3 linked regions of the Saccharomyces cerevisiae S288C genome follow. The gene in region 1 interacts genetically with each later gene. Each region holds a gene or a part of one and is shown in the gene's direction. Other genes may lie near its edges. The genes, in order: SDH1, SDH6 and MPC3.

Region 1 (9,042 bases):
ACATAATGTCTTACCAGTACCAGGTGGCCCATATAATAAGATACCCTTTGGTGGATCAATACCAAGAGTAGCAAATCTTTCTGGAGATAATAAGGGCAGCTCGACAACTTCTCTCAGCTTTTCAATTTGGTCTTTACAGCCACCGACATCGCTATAAGTAACGTCAGGCTTTTCTTCAACGGTCATCATAGTAACTGATGGGTCAATCCTTGGAGGCAATGGAAGTTCAATATTATATTTCGACCTATCGACACCTACACGCATACCTTCTTCTATATCTGTTGGAGAAACACGTTCACCTAATCCGACGACAAATTTGGCAATTTGCTTAAGATTTATCACGTACTTGGCATCTTCATCGTCTTCGTCTGCATCAGTAGACTGTTGATTGCTATTACTATTGCTATTGCCGCTGTTATTATTATCTGTCGTAGTTTCGTCACTTTCACCATTCCCCTTAATGATCTTCGTGCAACGAGCGACTTGTAAGGGATGTTCTTCGCCCAGTCTCTGCCTATCACCCATAATATCCCATAGATGGGAGGGTGCTAACCCTGTATCGCTTTCTTTCACACCGGCCTTTTCTTTGATTCTCGCTTCAATGTCTTTTAAGTCATTCTCAGTTTGCTTTAATTTGGCTGCGTATGGAGCTGCACCGTATGATTTTAAGACTTGAATGTCACCTTCTGTTAAGGGTACGATCTTGTCATCATCAGGTTTTTTATCATCGTCTTCCAAAGGTGCCTTGTATTTTTCCCAGTCTTCTTTTGGTGGCATTCCGTATAGTTCCTAACTTCCTTGATTTATTACGATGGTTCAAAAAAATATCTCAATTGAATATTGCTTTGAATTCTCATCTCCTTGGAAAATACTGTATATACCCAGTTCTTTGTATAGTAAGCTGCATGCTAGTTTAGTTTTCGGGTGGCAAAATTCGGTAATCCTATTCACTATACCTTTTCCTCTCGTCCGGGTAAACTCAGCCATACCAAATTGACAAGGATAGTACATTTATGCTAATCATAATTAAAACAAGGTATGTGTGTTCCAGATGCATATAGATAACGAGTCATATATAAATATATATATATGTGTCTGTACATGATGTACTCGGTCAAAAATGGCGGATTACTGGCTCCACATTTTAATCGTCTGCCATGACGTGTAGGCCATGACAGCAACTCCAAATACTATGACGATTAAATCTAAAAGAAGCCTGGCTCTCGAGGTTCCAGATAAGATGGACGCCTTATAGTGCAACAATGGCGGGTATATGTAGATCAATGGGATACACGCGAAGGAGCCTACCAGTGATACAAATTTGTCCAAATCGTTGGCGCCTACCCAAGCGAGGATAGATGTCAGGACGACAATAGCGCAACGGAAATAGTTTTTCAACCATTTGACTTTCGGGTTGTATTTACCAGATGCATTTGAGGGAAAAGTCCAGTTTTCCAAAATACGTATCGCGGGAAATAGCTGCAACGGCGTGGATAACAAAATGGCTAATGCATACAGTAATTGAACAGTGAGAGTATAGGAAGTGTCCTGCGGAAAATTCAATAAAACAACAGTTTTCACGTCAGATCCAAAAGCGGCATAGCATAAGAGACCACATGATATGAAAATCACTGCCACGATACACATCACCGCGGACAACGATGGCCGGAAATGCTTCGGGTGTTTCATTGACTCCTGAATGGGGATAAGTAGGCCTATACCTTCAAAGGTGAATATGGCGGTACCGATGAACAACGACCAGTCCGCTTTATTGAACATAAGCATTGTATCGGATGCGACACCATTAACAGCAATATAATAAATGGAGTAAACGTAAACATAAACCAATCCCAGTAGAATAAATAGATCTGCTATTAACGCGGTCCCACTTAACTTGGCTATGTTTCTTGTCAAAGATAGTGGGACAAAGATGAGTACTTGTGCAAAGATATAGGTGGCTAGACTGATGCTGCCCGGTTTCAAATGGAAGAAATTTTCAGAAAAGACCTGCAAATTAGTTGCAGTGAAAACAGTGTATGCAGCAGAAAACCCGATTTGTGACAAGGCGATAGACGAAAGAATGGCAAATTTCATTTTGGGCCCATATAGTATACGACCCATGTCACCGTACCCATCTACGCCTACTTTGTCCTTGGTGGTAATCAATGATACGAAACATCCATAAGAAATGAGGGCACACGAGAGTAGACAAAGGGCGCTAAATCCCCAACCACCGTTATGGAAAGCCTTTGGTAGGAAAAGCACACCTGTCCCAACAAATGACTTTAACAAGAGCAGCACCGCCTTTACCGTAGATGATTTGTGAGGATGGCGCCCGTGTTCACGAGAAACTAGCTGGGTGCTTTCCGTTTCCAAAGCTTCCTCCTCTGGCTCCTCTTCAGTTTCTTCCTCCTCCTCCTCTTCTTCCGATAAATCTTCACCAGCGAAGTGGCCATACAAGGTCAAAAATTCAATAAAGTTCCTGGTGAAAAAATTCGGTATGGGCGCATCAACGTTATGTTTCCTGCGCTTCTGTATTATAAAAGATCTTCTGAATCCACCAGGAGCCCTGATTTCTTCGTGCGTCATCGGTGCGGGCGCCAGGCCTATTGCCGCTAGAGGATTCCCATTCGCCTCCGAGTTGTTGTTAAGGTGAGAGGAAGATGCTATAGAAGCGGCAGAAAAGCTCATAGACCTTTTACGATTCGAGAATGAGGGCGCTTGTGAAGGTATTGAGGTGGAAAGTGCAGGTTGACTTGGGTACTGATACTGCGATGGTGATGAAGGATGGTCGTTTGTCCACTTATACAGATCTCTTGTAATGTCTCCGCCTTGCAATTGTAGGCTGTTACTCGGGTTTCTTATCAAGTGGCGTGCCACGGCATCTACCACATGTGGCTCAGGGTTATTTATGCTCACTTCAAGCGTGCCATTGTTACAGGAAGTGTGCGACGCGTCGGGTACGCTAGCATGCACCGCTTCATTGTTCACAAGCAGCGGCGGCTTTTTTAGCAAACCACCTGTAGTTCCACTAGATTTTCTACTTCTGCTTCTACTTCTACTATTACCGTTGCTATTGCCACCGTTGCCGTCCGTTAAAGGTGAGCCAGACGCATGCGAGATTCCTGTACTGCCTCCGTTGTTATTTTTTTTGTTGTTGTTGCTCTGCGTTCTTCCAGAGCCACTTGAAACCTCTTTTCCATTCATATCCGCGATGCAATCCCTTATACGCTTCTTAATAAACTTTGCTTCCCACTCTTTCACTACTGACCATCGATCCTTCTTATTTCATAGCCTCACGAGCACAAATGATAATACGAGAAAAAGGCCCGACCGGGTAACCAACCCTTTTACTATCTCTCGCTCTACCTTTAGTAATAATGTCGTCTATATAAGGATTTACTCATACAGTAGTCCAAAATATACCTTTCCGTGCTAAAAGTAGCTCCCAAAAGTAGCGGAGGTGAGGATCATCCTCTATTGCCAGGTACCAAGCTCGCTGGAAAGTCGTTATGGAGTCACGGCTTTGAGGGCGGGGGTGGACCAATCACAGCGCAGAACGCGGCGCCGAGCAAGCGCTGGACCAAGGGATCCGGGCCTCTTCTATTGGTTGTTTGTTTGCTCAAACCCGTTATATATTCAGGCATCCTCGACTCTAACCTTTTGCCACGTCGAGGCGGCTTGAAGCTTAAATAGCACTAATAAACTAGTAGACACATTATAACTAACCAGTAGTATACTTTGCACTTTCGATATTCTTTTCACTAATCTCCTCCCCAACCCCTTATTGAAGATAAAAAGAAAGAAAGAAAGAAAGAAAAAAATCCAATTTCATAGTACGAAGAAGAACGAGAATAAAGATGCTATCGCTAAAAAAATCAGCGCTCTCCAAGTTGACTTTGCTCAGAAACACAAGAACATTTACATCGTCAGCTTTGGTGCGCCAAACGCAGGGCTCTGTAAACGGTTCCGCGTCCAGATCTGCAGACGGGAAGTACCACATAATAGATCACGAGTATGACTGTGTGGTAATCGGTGCCGGTGGTGCCGGCCTTAGAGCGGCCTTTGGTCTTGCCGAGGCGGGCTACAAGACTGCTTGTATATCCAAGCTTTTCCCCACCAGATCCCACACTGTTGCTGCTCAGGGTGGTATCAATGCCGCTCTGGGAAATATGCACAAGGATAACTGGAAATGGCATATGTACGATACTGTGAAAGGATCTGATTGGCTAGGTGACCAGGACTCCATCCATTACATGACCAGGGAAGCGCCCAAATCGATCATTGAACTGGAACACTATGGTGTTCCTTTTTCAAGAACTGAAAACGGTAAGATCTACCAAAGAGCCTTTGGTGGTCAGACCAAGGAGTACGGTAAGGGTGCTCAGGCCTATAGAACATGCGCTGTCGCAGACAGGACAGGACATGCTCTTTTACACACGCTTTATGGCCAAGCTTTAAGACATGACACACATTTCTTTATTGAGTACTTTGCCCTCGATCTGTTGACCCATAATGGCGAGGTCGTTGGTGTCATCGCTTATAATCAGGAAGACGGTACCATCCACAGATTCAGAGCACACAAGACCATTATTGCCACTGGTGGCTATGGTAGAGCATACTTCTCTTGTACCTCTGCTCACACATGTACGGGTGACGGTAATGCCATGGTTTCGCGTGCTGGTTTCCCCTTGCAAGATTTAGAGTTTGTTCAATTCCATCCTTCAGGTATATATGGGTCTGGTTGCTTAATCACTGAAGGTGCTCGTGGTGAAGGTGGTTTTTTGGTTAATTCTGAAGGTGAAAGATTCATGGAACGTTACGCTCCTACGGCCAAGGATCTAGCTTGTAGAGATGTCGTTTCCAGAGCAATCACCATGGAGATCAGAGAAGGCAGAGGTGTTGGTAAGAAAAAGGACCACATGTACTTACAATTGAGCCATCTACCTCCGGAAGTTCTAAAGGAAAGATTGCCAGGTATCTCTGAAACAGCAGCCATTTTTGCTGGTGTAGACGTCACCAAGGAACCTATTCCCATTATTCCTACCGTCCACTATAACATGGGTGGTATTCCCACGAAGTGGAATGGTGAGGCATTAACCATTGATGAAGAAACTGGCGAAGACAAGGTTATTCCCGGTTTAATGGCTTGTGGTGAAGCCGCTTGTGTTTCTGTCCATGGTGCCAATAGATTAGGTGCCAATTCCTTGTTGGATCTTGTTGTCTTTGGTCGTGCTGTTGCCCATACGGTTGCTGACACTTTACAGCCTGGGTTGCCACACAAACCACTACCTTCTGATTTGGGTAAAGAATCCATCGCAAACTTGGATAAACTAAGAAATGCTAATGGTTCAAGATCTACGGCAGAAATTAGAATGAATATGAAACAAACTATGCAAAAGGATGTTTCCGTCTTTAGAACACAATCATCTTTAGATGAAGGTGTTCGGAACATTACTGCAGTAGAGAAGACCTTTGATGATGTGAAGACGACCGATAGATCAATGATCTGGAATTCTGACTTGGTTGAAACTCTGGAGCTACAGAACTTATTAACCTGTGCCTCCCAAACAGCTGTTTCCGCTGCTAATAGAAAGGAATCCCGTGGTGCTCATGCAAGAGAGGATTATCCAAATAGAGATGACGAACATTGGATGAAGCATACATTATCCTGGCAAAAGGACGTCGCTGCCCCAGTGACTTTGAAATACAGAAGGGTTATCGATCACACTTTGGACGAAAAGGAATGTCCTTCCGTACCTCCAACTGTAAGAGCCTACTAATTTGAACCTCATTGTATTTTACGGAAAAGAATATCATACTCTTCTTTAATTGCACTTTTTTTGTGCGTTTGCACTTTTTTACCACTGACTCACTAATTTGTATATATACCTATTAATATACATTTACATAAAGTTTCTTCTTATACATACTCTATTTATTTAGTTATTTATTAACTTACTATTTATTTATTTATTTATTTATTTATTTATTACTTTCAATTTTTTATCGAGGCATTTCCTTAGTTCTCCAATTTTTTTTCTCATTAGCCAGATGTGTGTTTTTCTGGCCCTCACAAAAAATGAGCAGGAGAAAGTCATATGGCGAACGTAAATATGTAACTAAAAATTAAGATGGGCAGACATTTATCATTTTGCTTATGACTAAATTGCGAATTGCTGTACAAGGGTGCTGTCATGGTCAGCTAAACCAAATTTATAAAGAAGTGTCACGAATCCATGCGAAGACTCCCATCGATCTATTAATTATTCTTGGAGATTTTCAAAGTATTCGTGATGGTCAGGATTTTAAGTCAATAGCCATACCACCAAAATATCAAAGACTCGGTGATTTCATATCATACTACAATAATGAGATTGAAGCCCCAGTCCCTACTATTTTTATTGGCGGTAATCATGAATCGATGAGACATTTAATGCTTCTGCCACATGGTGGTTATGTAGCAAAGAACATTTTTTATATGGGATACTCTAACGTTATATGGTTTAAAGGCATAAGGATAGGTTCATTGAGCGGGATATGGAAAGAGTGGGATTTCAATAAGCAACGACCAGATTGGAATGACCTAGAAAATAACAATTGGAAAGCTAACATAAGAAATCTGTATCATGTAAGAATTTCTGATATTGCTCCTCTTTTTATGATCAAGCATCGTATTGATATTATGCTGAGCCACGATTGGCCCAATGGAGTCGTTTATCATGGCGATACTAAGCACTTGTTGAAGCTTAAGCCTTTTTTTGAGCAAGATATTAAAGAGGGAAAACTAGGCAGCCCAGTGACCTGGCAACTACTAAGAGATTTGCGGCCTCAATGGTGGTTGAGCGCCCATTTGCATGTCAGGTTCATGGCCTCCATTAAGCATAATAAAAGAAGCCACGAACCGCCTAATAAGTCAACTTCAAAGACAAAAAAAAACAATAATGAAATAGATTTGGATTTATCCAGTGACGAGGACGAAAGGTCTGGTATTATGAATTGCCAAGAAGAGAATGAGTATGATTCCAAATACGGCGAGACACGGTTCTTGGCGTTGGACAAGTGCCTGCCAAGAAGACGTTGGTTAGAAATTCTGGAAATAGAACCGGATACATCGCATGCTTCGTGGAAGGACGAGAATCACCGTATGTTCTGGGATCCTGAATTTATCAATAATTTGGTAATTTGTCAAAAAAATAAGAATCTCCTAAGCAATAAACCGTTTAATAGCGTCAATTGGATAGAACTGTCTCAATCTAATAGAGAGGAAGGAAGGGATATTGATTGGGAAAATTATGCCATTCCTGCATACACCTTAGATATTCAGAAAGATGAAGTACGACAAACTAAAGCATTTATCTCTAAATTCATGACTTGAGAGATATTTCTATTACGAATGCAGACGGAATTAGAGCTTAAAGCCAAGCCTTCTTGAGAGAATTTTTAGTCATACACATGAATATATATATATTTTTTATATATTTACTAATTTGAACGATCCGAAATTAAAAAAAATATCAATTACTTTCCTCCATGCTTAAAATTTGAAAACTTGGTCCTTGGAGTAGCCCAAATTGTTCAAGATACCGATCAATTCACCTTGGTCCTTAGGTGACTTCTTCTCACCTGAGTAAGCGTTCATAAATGGTGGGGGACCGCAGACAAACAAATGTGTGCTTTCCTTTGGACCTGGAACATGCTCCTGAATAAAATCTTTGGAGATGAAACTAATTTCACCATCAAAGTCTTGGTCATCTTGCTTGTCGTCAACAAAGTAAGTAACATTGAACTTGTCAGGATACTTTTCCTTCAACGCATCCAGTTCCTTCCTTAGTAAAATGTCCTGAGGAGTCTTGTTCCCATATAGCAAGTTAACTTTGGTCTTGTCGTTTGGGTTTTCAACTATATGATGAGCTAATTGGTACAGAGGGTTGATACCGGTACCGGCACCTAACAAGGTGATTGACTTGAACTGATTAGGTTGCCACTTCCATTTCATAATAGGACCCTTGAAAGAAACGGTGTCATTTGGTTTAAGACCAAATAAATGTGAGGTCATTTTACCACCTTCATAATGCTTGACGACCAGCTGGAAGTGACCCTTCTGGGAAAGATCACTCACAGGAGTGTATGGTCTCACCACATTGGATCCCTTTGGTGTGACAAATTTAGCAAACAGAGCAGATGCTAGGACCAACCCCATTTCTGAGTCTTCGGTAGGCAGCTTAAAAGTAAACCTTCTGGTGTCGTGGGATTCCTCCTCTATTTTAGATATTGGCAAGTCGATCCATTTGTCATCACCTTTGAACACTTTATTAGATTCATTGAAGACAAAGGAATGTTGGTTACGGTTTGCAAAATAGAATGCGGTAGCAGCTGCTATAGCAACTGTACCTAGAGCAATCGGTAATGCTTTTGAGTGAGATCTGGATAATCTGGAAAACATGTTTTTGACTTGGAATATTATTTTAACCTATATACGTTATACTATTGTTAGTTTGGCTGCTTCAAAACGTTAGTATTGAGGGAAAAGGTAAGAGTACTTAACACAAGCGGGCATTGCGAGCAAACTGCATTCTTATATACGTACCTCTCTCGACAAGACACCAATCAAGGGCCCTTATTTCTCTTCTTTTTTCAAACGGAGAAACACTCCGAGCGATAGTTCCTACGCTTGTTTGGTCTTAGACCTTTGAAGTTTGAATTGTCAGGGGTAACAAGTTCCTTATACGATATAGGCGTCATAATGAGGGGGATAGTTTAGCATTGCGTGGAGGGATACTGAAGGTCATCGCAAATGAACCTAATTCATTCACCTATTGTTACCAGCTTGCATACTAGAAATGGACTCTTATGATCGTCAAAAGGAGCACACACCCACACACGACTCCTTTGCGCTGTAAAGGGCAGAATAGGGAGTGATGTGATGTGATGCGATGTGATGGGTCTTGCAACGTGATCTAGTAGATATATATGTAAAGGTGTAAATAGGTATATAGGCGTCGGTGAAATTTTATTAGCAACACCAGTTCAATACGATCA
Region 2 (7,806 bases), on another chromosome or scaffold:
TCGAACGTTCATGAAAGACATGTTTCCCATAGCTATTTTTTGAAAATGGTGCCATTCGAAACTGAAAGCTACTCCCTCTTGAAAGGATACAAAATTAATTGATCCTTCCACAACTTCAGTATTGGATGATACGCTTATTAAAAATAGGAACTAACTATCACGGTCGAGGCGACACAATACGCCAGCTTAAAAATGTAAGATTGACAGATTAGCAGATAGTCAGATTGATTTGAGTTAACCCAGCCAATAAGAACAAACCCATTCTCAGTGGTAGCTGGTAATTCCAACCTTATAGGCCATGATTTGAAGTATTGAAAAAAATTGGTATGGTTGGCTTATGAAAACGATACTCTTTTTGTATTTTCTCTAGCGAAGTATTTCGGACTCTTTCTTCATCTCTAAAAAGAGAATTCTTGATCAAAAGCGTGTGCCATATCCTTCCTTACAAAGAATATTTCTCGTATCCACACGAGACGATGCGAGTAACTAAACAAATAGCTCTCATTTCACGTATTAACATACTCTTACAGCATCCTGCTTAATGTCCCTTGGCAAACCTTCGACGTTGACCTTGACCTCTCTAGTGGTGTCCAAGAGCTTGGCAACTCTAGCGACTGCGTTTGGAGGTGCCCTAGTATTTTTTCTGATAGGGCCTCTTCTGTTTGGAAGGCTCCTACGTTGGCTACCAACTTGCTTACCAACTCTTCTTGGACCGTTACCACGAGTACCACCGACACGGGCTCTATTACTTCCTGCTTTGTTAGAGCCAATGATTTCGTCTAAGGATTTATCTAAGTTAGCAGACATTTAGCAGATGTAGGTATTTTCTTAATATGGATTTCTTAAAGTTTCAAATAGAACGAGGGAGATTTTTTTATCTATTTGTCTTCGATAGTTTTCGGATAAAACTTCTTCTAACAAAAAAACCTACTACTAAACACACGATAGGAATGACAGAAAAAAGCGAACGGAAGAAGTGAAAAAGGATAAATTTGGCGGCCTTTTATAGTTCTTCAAGTGGTGAGCCGAAAGCCGTGGAAAAACAACACGTCTCCCCGCCCCTGCCTCGTCGCGAAAAAAAAAATACTAGCAACTGGACAAAGAACTCTGTGGTAGTGGTAAAATAGCTTTAATATACGTATTTACTTTGTAAATATAGTTACATAAGGGTTTTTTATGTGTTAATGAACAGAAAACGAACAATTGGTAGCAGTGTTTTATAATTGCGCCCACAAGTTTCTATTTTTTATTTCTTTTAAGTGCCGCTGCTTCAACCATGCACTTTAGCTGTTCGGGGAAATCCAATTCGCCTAATTTGACTTCTAAAAGTTCTATCCCGCTTCTTTTGTTTGAATTCTTAAGCTCCTCCAATTTCAGTGCTAATTTAGAGGGACATTGAATGAGAGTGCTATTAGTATACTTTCCGTCGAAGTCTCCGAATGCTTCAAATAGTTTGGTCCATTTCCAAGACATAACGTCGTTATACGACCTGGTAGGGCCCATGATGGCTCTTTCAATAGTGTAGCCGTTATTGTTCCAAATGATAACTTCTAGTGGAATATTGCACTTCAGAATGGTGCTCAGTTCTTGGATTGTCATCTGTGCTGCACCGTCACCTTCAAACAAAATTAATCTTGGCTTATAGTCCTCTTTTACGTTGCCACCATTGATGTGAGCGTTTGAGTGGTCTTGCATGGCAATTCCAACACCTAGGGCGGCAGGAAGGGCCATGCCAATGGAAAGGAAAAATCCTTGCGATATATATTTTAATTGCGAAGGAAACGCGAAATCACGAACAGAGAATTGAAAAGAGCCTGTTTCACAAACGACAACATCACCAGGGTTCAAAAATTTAGGCATCGTCTTTTGTAAGTGAACTTGTGTAATAATGCTTGATTGTCCATTGGTAGGATCTTCTAACCGCATTGTTTCGTTCGTATATTGAGTTACATTTGAATCATATTGCAAAGAAAGTTTAGAAACGTCAATGCGCTTGTATAGTTCTTTTAAAATAGGGGCAAAATTGATTCCTTTGAACATTTGCTCATTGCCCTGCCTAGTGTCCACAAGGCGAATATAATTCGGATGAAATTGAATGATTTTAGCATTTGGTTTATAAGTAAAAGTATAATGCCCATTATTAATTTCATTGATGTCGACTCCAAAATGCAAGACCAAGTCGCACAGTTCAAAATGTTCATAGACTTGTTTTAAACCTTCTTTACCATTATATTGACCCATATAAGTTGGGTTTGACTCATCAATTACAGATTTTCCCATAACAGTGGAAAAATTCCAAATCCCAGTTTTGCAGATAAGCTTGTTCAAAAAGTTACTCACACCATACCTATCAGTCAGTACGTCTCCAAGGATCGCAGGTGTTTTACTGGAATATATCCAACTAGTAATCTTGTTGATTATGTCAGACAATTGGTTTTCAGAAGGGTATACTATACAATCTTGTTGAGATATACGTGGAACATTAACCAAATTATCACATGTAACAGACATATCCGCAAAATCTGCAGGAACAAAAATATAACCAGGTTTAGAATACTTGTAAATATCGCGGATAACATTATCGACTTGGTCACATGCAGTTTCAATATCCTCCAAGTAGGCTACCGAGCAAGCGACTCTATCTTTTACCATATCATGATATACTTTATGATTTGGCCCTTTAAAATTTGAATCATGTAGCTGTGGGACCAAATGATGTAGGTTCCGATCACTAAAGTTACTTGAACGCGAATCTATGGACTTGGCCACACCAACAATGTGCAAAACTTTGACATTTTCAGCGAACGAACCGGCTATACCGTTCAAGGCGCTTAATTCACCAACGCCATACGTGGTTATTAAACAGCCAATCTTATTAGAGTAACGGGAATATCCGTCGGCCGCATAAGCGGCGTTCAGTTCATTACACGTGCCGACCCATCTTAGGCCAGCTGATTCAACACTAGGTGAATAGAGATATTCTAATAGAGATAAGTTGAAGTCACCAGGAACACCGAAAACTGATTTCGTATCGATGGACAACAATCTTTTAAATATGTATTCACCAAACGGAATTGTTGCTGATCGGTTGGAAACAAGGTGTCGTTCTTCTTGATTTACGAACTTTTCAATTGTAACAGGTGCCATGCTTAAGGGAGTTTCTTTGTTATCTTGTAAATAAACTTTACAGAAGTCGCGTCAACTTGTTTTGAGTATCAAGTTGAGAGGGTTGATCAGTTAAATATGTTTTATATCAGATTTTATGTAGTATTAATAAACGCAGAAAAAAAATGAAAGTGAGCTGCCGCTGTAGTGACGATGCAAACTAGCCCAGTTTATATCTTAAACTTTACTCAACACAATAAATAAGATGCCACTAACCTATTACATACCGACACTTACCGAAGGTATCAAAGCTCCGCCGCACAAAAGTACGACAAATGCTCAGCATGACCTCGGCAATTTTCGGTAAATGACGGCTATCCGCGGTTATCCCTCCCGGTAGGTAACCGACACTTTGGAGAGGATTCGCAAAGGCTCAAAGTAATATATGACGGCTTTTTCAAAAAATAGCCTAAGCCTACTACCAAATGTTAATAAGGAAGCTACATGAGGTGTACAAGCATCGAATTTTGGATTATCTTTTTCGCTAAGACGTTGTTGTACGCTTTCAATCCTGCTTTTTTAAATTTCGGTGGACGAACCAATCTAAAATGTAGTAAAACTGGTAGATGTTAATTAATTAACCTTGCAAAGCCGAAGAAAAAAAGGGGTTCGCCAAATTATTCTTAACAAAGATAATGTAGCTTAAACACACAAGAAGAAGAGGAGACGCAATACCAAGAGCATGCCTAAGAGATTAAGTGGGTTACAAAAAGAAGTCTTACACCTGTATAGGGCTTCCATACGAACGGCTCATACAAAACCAAAGGAAAACCAAGTTAATTTTGTGAATTATATTCATGAAGAATTTGGGAAGTATAGAAATTTGCCAAGAAAAGACTTCACCACCATTGAACACTTGTTACGGGTCGGAAACAAAAAAATTGCCACCTTTTCACACCCTGAACTGACGAATATACATTGAACTATTTTCTTACTTTATTCTTTTTTCATATGATTTCTTATTTAATCTATCCTATGTTTATTTAACTTTTGCAAATCTGTATTATGCTTGCTTAAATATGTCTCTATAGTTTCCAAGTATAAATTCCACGATATAATTCCTCTCCTTCATGTCCACAATATCTTTCTCGCCGTCAAAATCGTGGATAAGACTCGGTGCAAAGACCAACGACAAGTTATGTAAGTTCATTAAATTTCTTTCACTGCACCTTCGAACTTTGCCGATATGTGCTGCCAATACTTTCAATACTTCCTGATGCTCTACGGGTAAAATTTTGAAAATTTCAAGTAGGCTTTTGAGCACCATTTCATAAATAGTCACTTTTTGTGGTGAATCCAAAAACTTGTCGTTGTTTAATGGTAGCCTCTCAATTAGTTGGTTATTTCTAACTAGATCTATCAAGGCATCGTATATGGAAAATGATAAAACTGGATCTGGTAGTTTTCTCAAATATCGTTTTAATACGCTAGCCACTGCATGAATATCTTGATTCAGTAAAGCATTCAGTTTGGGACTTAATGTATCACTATGCAACGAATTATTCTGAGCGAATTCATTTTCGATCTCCTCAACCAAAGTCTGTGAGCCCGACTTTCTGTATAAGCCTTCCATGTTCAGGCCTATATCATCTTTTTCAATGCGATCAATGCAGCACCTGATAATTATTGGAACAGTACTTTTTTCATACGCACATCGAGCTTGTAGCGAAGATCCATATAAATGGGAACCATCAGGCGTATAATCTAATCTCTTTGGACTTGGCGACAGTGGTACTTTGCCTGGAGAAGGAAGCTCATCGTGTACTCGAATTAATTTCGGTGATGATATTTCTTTCTGTGCTATATTTGTCGTTCCGCCTGAAGATGAATTTGGCGAACGTTGCTGTGATTCTAGATCGCCTACCTGGTGATCCTTAGCACTTGAAAATATTTTCCAGAAGCGTGGTTTAGGACTGGCATTAGATATGCTCCCTTTTCTGTCGGAATTTGAACTTGGTGACTTTACAGTGATTGATGTTGCAATGTTTTCTTTTTGTTCTAAGGACTCCCGGGAAGATGCAGATTGCTTATCCTTTTCTCTTGTTAAATTGTCAACATCATTTAACAGCCTCTCTTTCGCTAATCTTAGATTTTCAACATCTTGTAATAATTTTTTCTTCGTACCTTCTAGTTCCCTCACATCTAATTTTAACTTCCTTAAAGTCAACTCAGTAAAGTAAAAGTCCTTTTCCAAGCTTGTAGCGCTTTCATCAGTAGCATCCACTTTCGTGGAATCGTCTTCCAACAATGCATTAGTGGATCTAGACGTCTGTAAGCTAGAAGATCTGTGGTGTGCGGACTCAGATGACAGAGATGGCCTCTTAAATAATGGCCCTGATTCCAAAGGCGGCGTACGGAACATTGCTATATGATGCCCCGAGCTTGAACTTGTAAATGAACCATTTATGCGTCTATTAGTGGCTGTATCATTAGAATTTTGCTTTTTGGATATACTGCCAAGGCTGCTTTGCGCTTTTTTGTGATTAAACTCCGGTACTGTAAAATTTCCATGTTGTGGTAGAGTATTGTATATTGTACTGTCACTTTGGCCTCTTGATACAGGATTTTTTTTGGCTTTTGATTTTCTTATATTTGTATGAGTAGAGGAAACACCCCAGCCAGAATGAGTGTCTGATTCCTGTATAGAAGTGCTGTGATGGGGATGCTTTGGGTCCAGCATTTCCGAAGTTTTACTTTTCAGGTTGTGAACAAAATTTTTGGACTTCAAAGAAAACGATCTTGAAAGTTTTTTGTTTGGAGAGGGTGCTACTTTTTTATGCGGCAATAAGTTATCTGCTGTTTGAGGCCTGCTGAAACTTCCATTATCAGACAAACGTAATGTCGATGAAGAGGTTGATGTTTTCATTTCTACGGTATCGGTTCTTGTAATCGGGGAGACATGATTCATAGATTTGGAAGTTGACGTTTGAATACCTTGAGATGATTTGTTATTTTCTTTCGTAGCTTCTGATAAAGTTAATGCCAGTCCATGCGGAGGTTCGACCTCTTCGTTCATTTGTACAGCCATAGGGCTGTTCAAAGGACTTGTAATTTTATCAGTGCTATTTCTGGGTGTGTTGACGATGATTTCATTCTCTTTGTTGTCTGTATCATCTTTGTCTGTCTCTTCTTTATCATAAATTGAAAAGAATCTATTCGCGTTCGAGTTCGAATTTGGGATCCTCGGATCCTTTACCACTATGGAATCTCGATTTGCTCTTTGTGGTTTTAATAGCCTATAGGTTACGTCTTCACCCATTTTGTTGATGTAGTCCTCATTATCCACCAAACTCTGCTCTTCAATGCTATTACTATCGTGTTCCAAAGTAGAGTTCAGAATGTCGTCAATAGAAACCGTCCTTGCGTGAGAAGATGTTTCCTCCCTGTCCTTGCTGTTATCATTATCATTATTGTCATTCAACGATGATTCATCTCTTTCTTGTGATACTAAAACTTGTGGAGTGAGCTGTTGATCCTCATTCGAGCTTACAAGGTTCTTACTTATTGCGGTGTTGTTTGTACTGACATCTGACTTACCATTTATTCTGGTGGGTGACAAGGGCCTTTTGACTGATCTTTCAGGAAGTTTTATGGGAAAATCTTCTTTCGATGAATTTTTTGTTTGATTTTCCAGTAATAGTTGTTTTTTTCTCAACAATTTCTCGTGACAATCCATACAACATAGTCCTCGTTTTGTCTTTGCATACTTTAAGTTCTTTATACGGTTGCTGCACCGACAGCATCTGAAACAATTGGAACAATAGGCCTCATTTGAGGAAGGCAGTATAATTGCTGTGTCGTCTATTTTATCGCCACAATTTGTACATTTATCTGAGCAGTCGTAACAAATTAATGTACCTATATCCAGAACCAAAAAGTCTGAATCTGCGTTCAATTTTTTGTCACATTTGTAGCATGTAAAGCACTGGTCATGCCATTTTTTGCTTTCTAATTCGTATACCTGGCTAGACGCGATTGATTTATTGCACCTCACACATAAAGACGATTGGTCATTAATAGGGTCAGCTGACATATTTTTTTCATCAAAATCTCCTTGCTCTTGAGATGCTACGTTATATTTCACTTTATTAAAAGTACAATGAACTCTTGGTAATAAAAGATAAGGATTAGAAACGCCAAGTATGCAAAGATGAAATGTTAATCAATAGGGGAGTCGACTGATCGATCTTCTGGCTAACATTCTCCAAGGAATGCCAATTTTCATATCTCGACCTGATACTGTTTACCCGAATGGGAAACTAAATTGACGTGCATTATCATTACAATTAAAAGTTACTGAAGCGATGCAACGATTTAAGCACAATTGAAGCGGCATAAATCGAATATCACTGTGGCTAATTAACTGGGTTATGTGTAGGAAATAAATGTTATTACGACTATAGGCCTTTCTTTTAGCCGTTTAATGTAAGATATTTCTATTATTAAAACATTTTACCCGGGGGCAGCTGTTCGTGTACAATGCCAAATAAGCAACGTCGCAGCAACCCATTCAATAATGCACAAGACGCCATATTAACGAGAAAATATGGCATTGCACAGTATAAGCAAAACAAGCAGAGATTATTAGTGATGTCCGGAAAAGCTTCTACAGAGGGTAGCGTTACTACGGAGTTTCTCTCT
Region 3 (8,163 bases), on another chromosome or scaffold:
TTTAGTCTGTCAGATACTGGCAATAATTCGGAACCATCATCTTTAACGGTAGTGGATAAGAAGTTTTCGTAAAGTTCAATAAATTCTGTGTCTCTTAAAGAAATTGCCTTATCGAAATCTTTGTTTTCAATGGCAGTGGCAACAGATTTAGTCAACTTCACAGATTCAACCAATGGCATTCTAATTATCTTGTTTTCTAAAATACCAATTAATGGAGAAGGAGTTTCAGGGGTAAATTCCAGAACGGCCTTAACAGCATCGACACCTTGTAGAGTAGCTAACCATCTGTCATGAGCAACAGCTGTACCACCTCTTTGAACGTGACCTAGAATGGTTACCTTGGTGTCTAGACCCAATTCAATCAAAGCATCTTTGACGTCATTGGCAGTAACAGGGTTTAATTGATCATCTAAAGCACCTTCAGCGACAATAATTGTGTTATTTCTTCTACCCTTACTTCTGTGTCTTTGGCACACTTCCTTCAATTCGTCCTGCCATTTTCCGTGAGGAACAGCTCTTTCTGGAATAAAAATGTAATCGGCACCGGTAGCAATACCAGCCATCAAGGCCAACCAACCACAATGTCTACCCATAACTTCAACAACAAAGGCACGGGAGTGGGATTTAGCGGTGGCATCAATGTAGTCAACCATTTCACAGATTCTTTCCAAAGCAGAATAAGCACCAATGGTAGAGTCAGTACCAGACATATCATTATCGATGGAACCGACAAGACCAACAATGGACAAATTCTTGTATGGGGCGACTTCTTCTTTAGTGAATCTACCTTCTGCAACCAATTCATCAACCAAAGATGGCCATTCGTGTCTGAAAAGATCAGCACCGGTTAAAGAACCATCACCACCACAAACAACCAAAGCGTCAATACCTTGCGAAATTAAATTGCCTGCAGCTTGTCTACGACCCTCACGCTTTCTGAATTCCATAGAACGAGCAGTACCAATCAAAGTACCACCTTCACTTAACCAACCTCTGACATCTTCCCAAGCCATTTTCTTTAAATATTTACCGCCTCTTAGTAAACCTTCGTAACCTTCGTAAACAGCAAAAACATCACAGCCGAAATGTATACCTGTACGAACAACGGCACGAACAGCGGCATTCATACCTGGAGAATCACCACCAGAAGTCATGACAGCAATCTTCTTCTTCTTTTGAGAAGAGCCCAATGTTTGTCTTAGTAAGTCAGAAGCATCGGAAGAAGCTCTAGAGATGATTTCGTCTTCGGAGGTAGCTTCTAAGAAAGCATCTTTGGAAGTTGGAGCGGAATCGGTTGCATTAGCTAAGCCTGAGAAGGTGATGTTGTTGCCCATTGGATCTTTCAAAAACACTAAGGTATCGGACAATTTTTCGGCTTGTTTTGGGAATTTCTCGACAATCTTGTTCAAATCAGTAGAGAAATAAGTGATTGTGGCGGTTTCGTTGGTGTCGAAAGTTTCATCGATTGGAGCAGACATCACTAAACGAATCTTTAATAGAGCACCTTGACTTTGAGCCTTGTTAGTAGCTTCTTGTTGTGGTATACGGAACCCAGAAGCATCAACCTCACTCAACTTGAAAGATTCTAACCAAACTTCTCTCAAGGAATCTTGGGAAGTCCCTGAAGATAGTAAGCTATTTTCACCATGTTTGAATTTGTTGAAATCTTTCACAGTTGCAAATCCTAGAGTGTGATAAAAGTGAATGGTCTTCTTGAATAAAGCTTCATCATTTGTGATGATAGATCTGAATGCAACACCGTAGCATGAATCTTGAGATTGCATCTTTGATATGATTTTGTTTCAGATTTTTTATATAAAAGCTTTCCCAAATAGTGCTAAAGTGAACTTAGATTTTTTGGTACCTGTTTCGAAATTAAAAATAGAAAAATTTCTCTCCCTATATTGTTATTCTTACTTCAAATTTGTTTATCGTTTATTTACTAGGCGAGACTTGAGTAGACGACAATCCAAATAGAATTAACAGATTTTATTGGTAGAAAGCAATAATATTCTTTAGATGGTTGAGAATAAAGAAGTAAAAAAACCAGTAAAGAGAAAAAGAAAAGGAAGAAAATTAAAGAAAAAGGATGATTACACAAGAAGATAATAAAAAAACTCCTTTATTAAGAGCGGAAGAATTTAATAATGAAGATGGGAATAAGCAAAACAAAAACAAAGAAGGGAAAAAAAATAAAAAATCGTATTTATTTATTTAAAAAATCATGTTGATGACGACAATGGAAAAAAAAAACCGATTTCACTTTCTCATCCTTATATTTTTCAAAGGTTGATGCAAGTCGATCTCAAATCGGATAACGCTGCCAACTGGGAAATTCCGCAATTCCGCAAGAAAAAAAAAAATGTGAAAACGTGATTGCATTTTTTACAGGTCCTAAAGGATTTAGCCCACATATCAAGAGGGTGGCAGTAATTGCACTGATTAAGCATTCGTCAGCATTAGGCGAATGTGTGCATGAATATTGCCAGTGTGCTCGATATTAGAGAGTACATTGAAGAATATTGTACCGGATTATGTACAATAACTTTGTTAATGAGATATTAATTTTCTTTTTTACTAGCCGCTATCCCATGCACGATGCTAAATTTCAAGAAGAAACTGAGATTTAAAAAATTAGTGGAAGCTGATAAAACGGACTATAATGGTGTATGGATTGAGGAATCTCGACATGTTTTTCCATCGTTTTCAACGATGACTGTAACCCGTAGATTGAACCAGGCATGCCAAAGTTAGTTAGATCAGGGTAAAAATTATAGATGAGGTTATATGTATGGTACGTAAAATTTACATGTTTGGATAGTATCATAAAATATAGAAAGGTGGAAGGGATTACCTAAAAATCAGAGTTTATAATATGCAAGGACGGCCTGTTGAGAACAAAAAACTGTAGTATCTATCGCTCACTATATATCTATTAAGTTAGGATTTTCTTGCTGATGCTGCTGTTGTTGCTGTTGTTGATTGATGGGGACAAACGCAGTGGGAACCATAACATACCCTGTTTGCTGACCCTGCATCATTTGTGGTTGCTGCTGCGCACCAGTAGAGGCATACTGAAGTTGACCGGCCACGGGATTCGTCATGTATGTGCCCATTGGTGATGTCACCACGTTTTGAGCCTGAAATGGATTACCTGTTTGACTATGAGCAAGAATCGGGGTGGTTTGTGCTTGTTGGAGGGTAAAAGGATTTGGGGAGTTTTGGAAATTTTGTTGTTGCTGTTCTCTGGCAATATTTTCTAGCGAAAATGGGTTGTTAGACCCCGTTTTTGTTGGATCTAAAGTGCCGGTCATAATTGCATTGTTCTCGGTGGTCGTGTATCCGCCGAACCCTGAGCCGGTGAAATTTGGGGTGTATTGAAGGTTAGAAGCATACATCCCAGTTTGTTGATTATTCAAATTTGGAGTAATCTGTATCTCACTTGGTTGTGGCATTGTAGACGCAGATGTCAACTGTAAAGCCTGTTGCTGTTGTTGCGGTATCAAGAAGGGGTTAGCAGTTGGTTGAGGGACTTGAGCGGTCATTTGTGGCTGGGTTGGTTCGAATGAAAAGGTGTCATTATTTAAATCTTGCTGTTGTGATCCAAATGGGTTGTAAGCATCTTGTGGGACCGTGGGGGAAATGAGCAACTGTTGGTTTTGTAATTGTTGCTCCAGCAGTCTTTTTTGTTCCCTTATCTGTTCCAGTTTCTTCTGCGCTATAGACTTATTCTTGTCATTGCTGTTGTTATTGTGACTACTGGTAGAGCTAATGGCCGTAGATGGTTTTCTATCTTGCTGCGGTTCAGAAGGTTCACCTCTTTGTCTTTTTGTTTCCTCTCTCAAATGCTCCTCAAGGGAGTTAATTAACTTTGTAGTAATATGTTTGATAACGGGGATTTTCAAACCGACAGCTTTTCCTATTTTTAGGTATCTAACAACATATTCTGTCATATCCACGAAATCCTTATAGAGATCCAGTGTTCTTTTTGCGTGCTCAATGGACAATTCGAAGAATGATTCTAAAAGTGTAATGACACCTTCATTAAGAGCATTGTACAGACCTAGTAAATCTTGTACTAACAATTGGAATGCATACAATAACAAATGGTTTTCTAAATCTGAAACAGAGTATTTATTCCTTATCAAGGCATTAATTTGAATTTCCAATGATTCAACATGATCTAGCTCTTCATCCATTGAAAGCTGGTTCTTACTGCCCAGCTTTAGCGAGGAGTAATTGTCTCGTAGGTGATCCATACCTAGCCTGCCATACTCTTCACAACGTGTTTTTAGGTATTCGTCGTATCTCTGCAAAGCCCTCATATCATTGGAAGACCACTTAGTAGTATGCGAAATCTTTCTCAATTGGAAAACATCCAAATTATGGGAATAGTGCCTTAGCGTGACATCTTTTTCGCCTTGTTGTATCATCAGATGCAACACAATCAATGCCTTATAAACAATGGTCCAGGCTGTATCAGACAACCTTATATCCAATGCGTGGGTAATCTCTTGCAATCCTCTTGCGCTCGAAGTGCCCGAGAGAATAGGGTCCACATATTTTTGCTTTGGAGGGGCCATCTTTATTTTGGTCGCCCCTTTAACCAACTTAGTATATAATGAAGACATTGTTTCACAAACACGCCTCTATATCTATTATAGGGGTAGCCGAGACAGTCGCGCTTGTATGCTTGATATTGTTACTCTCGTAGATGTTAGCAAGCGTAGCAAATTGGTACTCCTGCTACAGATTTATTTTTTCTCCTTCTAAAATTATAACTCAAGCAAGAAGCCCTAATAACAAGTTAACCAGACTAATAAGTCGACTTTTTCCTCGAATGTAGAAAAGAAACTTTTCTACGCAGCTGCAAACTTAATCTATCCCTCCACCAAAGCAAAATGAAAACAAAGCCATACTGGGAAAAATCTGAAAAAAAAAATGGTAGGAGTAAAAGAAAAGAAAAAATAAAGGTTACCCTGCAGTTTGGATAGTCGGGTAACATTTGGCCCTTTTCCTCCTTGATTGGATATTATTACCCCGATTACCCCTCATCTTGGGAGTGCCCCGCTTTTATTTCTCCCGCCAATCGGCTATTAACGGCTTTACGTCATTCCGTGGGCGGGTCAAGCGAGCCGCTCCCTGGTTTGGTCACGCAAAACCGAAAGGCTCAAACAAAACTAAGGCCATCATATATATATATGCGGCTGCGTGCGTGTATTCTCCCGGATAATATGGTGCGTTGCAATTGGAGTATTGGAGAAAATTTTCTTTTCCCTTTCATTACGGCGGAAATACTTCATATAAAAAAAAAGAATACAATCAGTCTTTAAGACTATACGCATAAGCATTCAAGACACATAGAAACACAAACCTATATTTTTAATGTCAGCATCAGCTTTTAATTTTGCCTTTAGAAGATTTTGGAATAGTGAAACAGGCCCTAAAACAGTACACTTCTGGGCCCCAACTTTGAAGTGGGGGCTGGTCTTCGCAGGGCTAAATGATATTAAGAGGCCTGTTGAGAAGGTATCAGGAGCACAAAATTTATCTTTATTAGCGACGGCACTGATTTGGACGCGTTGGTCGTTTGTCATCAAGCCCAAGAACTATCTGTTAGCTTCCGTCAATTTTTTCCTGGGTTGCACTGCAGGCTACCATCTAACAAGAATTGCTAACTTTAGGATACGGAACGGTGATTCTTTTAAACAGGTTATTCACTACATAATAAAAGGGGAGACTCCTGCAGCCGTCGCAGCAAAGCAAACTGCATCCACATCGATGAACAAAGGTGTGATCGGTACTAATCCGCCAATAACGCACTGATTACGTAAACGATAATATGTTCCTGAACTCGCATTTTTTTAATGATTTTTTATGACCTCTTATATATTCTTTCATTATATAACCTCTATATTACATCAAAAGATGGAAAAATATAAAAAAATTAAAAAAAAAAAAAAGAAATTTTTTCCAAAAGAGTATATTTATATGTATGTATACATGTAGGGAAAATAAGAAACTTTATTAATAGTAAAAAAGCATATATACTTTATTATTAACTCTTTTGTTTTTCTCGAGAAGCTTAATTTTGGGTCAATTCAACGACCTTTTTAGCAGCAGGATCTAATTCATCAAACGAATAAATCTTCACGCCTGACTTATTGATAATGTCGCGGCCTTCTTCTACTTTGGTACCTTGCAAACGTGCCACAATGGGGACCCTAACTTCTAGTTCTCTGGCGGCTTCTACCAGCCCCAGGGCAACATAGTCACATCTTACGATACCGCCGAAAATATTGACGAAAATTGCATCTACGTTCTTATTGGATAAGATCAATTCGAAACCTTGTTTGATGGTCTCAGGGGTGGCACCACCACCACAATCCAAAAAGTTCGCAGGATCGCCTCCATTTAATTTGATGACATCCATAGTAGCCATAGCCAAACCAGCACCATTGACTAAACATCCAATGTTACCCTTCAACTTAACAAAATTCAAATCATACTTCTTTGCCTTAACTTCATCAGGATCTTCTTGTGATAAGTCCCTCCAGGAATATATCTTTTCCTGTCTGAATGATGCGTTATCATCAAACCCAAATTTGGCGTCTGTACACATGATTTTGTGGGTTGGATCATGTTCAATTTCACTCAAAGGGTTAATCTCCACTTGTGTAGCATCCCTTTCCATGAATATTTTATACAAATTGGAAACAGCTTTTGCTGCCTCGTCTTGTGCATCGGGACTGAAACCGAGACTCTTGGCAACATCCTTGGCCATTTGTGGGCTCAATCCCTTTGAAGTTTCAATTGAAAATTTCTTTATAGCATCTGGGGTTCTCTCAGCCACCTCTTCAATATTCATACCACCTTGACTGGACGCAATGATCATCGGTTTCTTGGTTTGTCTGTCCATTAGAATAGATAAATAAGCTTCATGCTTTGTATCTACTCTTTTCACTATATATACAGCAGATACTGGCTTCCCCGCTATTCCCGTCTGTTTAGTAATCAGGTTATGATTGAGCATTTCTTTTGCAACATCCTCTGCCTGCTGAGGACTTTCGATCATGTGAACACCGCTTTTGTAACCGGTGTCGAAGTGACCTTTACCTCTACCTCCGGTCAATGCCTGCGCCTTGATGACCAGTTTGTTAGTGTTTAATTTCTTGGCTGCTTCGAAAGCCTCTTCGGGAGTGAACGCTGGAAATCCTTCTGGAGTACCAATACCGTATTCCCTCAATAACTGAGCTGACCTGTATTCATGAATTGACAAGTGTCTCCTTGCTTGTAAAGCAGCTTGCGCGTTTAGCCTGCTTAATTGCCCACACTTTGAAATTAGGGATAAGGATTTTCTTGAGTACATTTTGTTCAGTTGCAATGCTTCAGTATTTTTTTCGATTGTATTGACTCAATCCTTATTAATCCTAACTACCTAAAAGTCAGTTACAAAAAAACTGGACTATCGCTCTATAGTCACTGTTATTTTTCGAGAGAAAACGTCAAAGTGCTGATAAGGAAAACGTCGATCTTATATAAAACCTCAAAGATGTTGACTACGCGGCAATTGAAAGGCCAACCAACTTTTAGAATACTCACTCCGCCGCTGCGGGGAAAAGCCGAGAATTCCCGATGAACACATAATCGATACCAGTTGGAGCATTTTTCTCTGTACCAAGACATAAAAAGAGTTTTTTTTAGTATCTACCTGGCTTTGGTGTTCCATTCAAGGTAGAGAAGTCCTCATACAGTTGGAGAGATGAATGTATCTGTGTATATGTATGTATATATTAATATGGCTACGATGTCGTCTAATACCCCTTCTTCTTTTGTTTGGTGATGTGTGCACGTAACACTTTTTGCTTGTCTCGTAGTGACATTTTTTGTTTACCTCTAACAGATCTCTTGTGAATAGACATAACAAAGTTCTTCCTTCTTTCTTTTTCTCTGTTGGTAGTAGAACGCATGTTGTCACGCTTACCGCGTCTACTACCAAATTTGTCTCTACCTTCACGACCTTCCAACACCTTTTGTAATCTTTCCTCACGAGACTGTTTGTATTTGATAGGGCCTGTTAGTGTACTTGCATCAACTAACTCTTCACGCTTGTCTTGTTTGTGGATACCCATTATTTTAGCAACGCTTTCCTCATTACGCAAT

The links.
Region 2: of SDH1 (region 1) and SDH6, changing one suppresses a phenotype caused by changing the other (phenotypic suppression), as found in Saccharomyces cerevisiae (one study listed by BioGRID).
Region 3: of SDH1 (region 1) and MPC3, changing one enhances a phenotype caused by changing the other (phenotypic enhancement), as found in Saccharomyces cerevisiae (one study listed by BioGRID).

Annotation. Positions count from the first base shown.
Region 1 is NC_001143.9:165,948-174,989, reverse strand, and holds SDH1 (succinate dehydrogenase flavoprotein subunit SDH1), read left to right. Parts: upstream 1-3,860; coding exon 3,861-5,783; downstream 5,784-9,042. Other genes in the region: proteasome regulatory particle base subunit RPT1, read right to left, coding at 1-777; AVT3 (Avt3p), read right to left, coding at 1,129-3,207; DBR1 (RNA lariat debranching enzyme), read left to right, coding at 6,161-7,378; MCR1 (cytochrome-b5 reductase), read right to left, coding at 7,538-8,446.
Region 2 is NC_001136.10:1,229,559-1,237,364, reverse strand, and holds SDH6 (Sdh6p), read left to right. Parts: upstream 1-3,847; coding exon 3,848-4,087; downstream 4,088-7,806. Other genes in the region: RNA-binding protein YRA1, read right to left, coding at 523-807; phenylpyruvate decarboxylase ARO10, read right to left, coding at 1,240-3,147; GTPase-activating protein RGA2, read right to left, coding at 4,169-7,198; U4/U6-U5 snRNP complex subunit LSM6, read left to right, coding at 7,756-7,806. UniProt on the Saccharomyces cerevisiae protein: Plays an essential role in the assembly of succinate dehydrogenase (SDH), an enzyme complex (also referred to as respiratory complex II) that is a component of both the tricarboxylic acid (TCA) cycle and the mitochondrial electron transport chain, and which couples the oxidation of succinate to fumarate with the reduction of ubiquinone (coenzyme Q) to ubiquinol.
Region 3 is NC_001139.9:971,951-980,113, forward strand, and holds MPC3 (mitochondrial pyruvate carrier), read left to right. Parts: upstream 1-5,385; coding exon 5,386-5,826; downstream 5,827-8,163. Other genes in the region: PFK1 (6-phosphofructokinase subunit alpha), read right to left, coding at 1-1,784; YGR240C-A (uncharacterized protein), read right to left, coding at 2,627-2,827; YAP1802 (Yap1802p), read right to left, coding at 2,925-4,631; LSC2 (succinate--CoA ligase (GDP-forming) subunit beta), read right to left, coding at 6,086-7,369; SDA1 (Sda1p), read right to left, coding at 7,815-8,163. UniProt on the Saccharomyces cerevisiae protein: Mediates the uptake of pyruvate into mitochondria.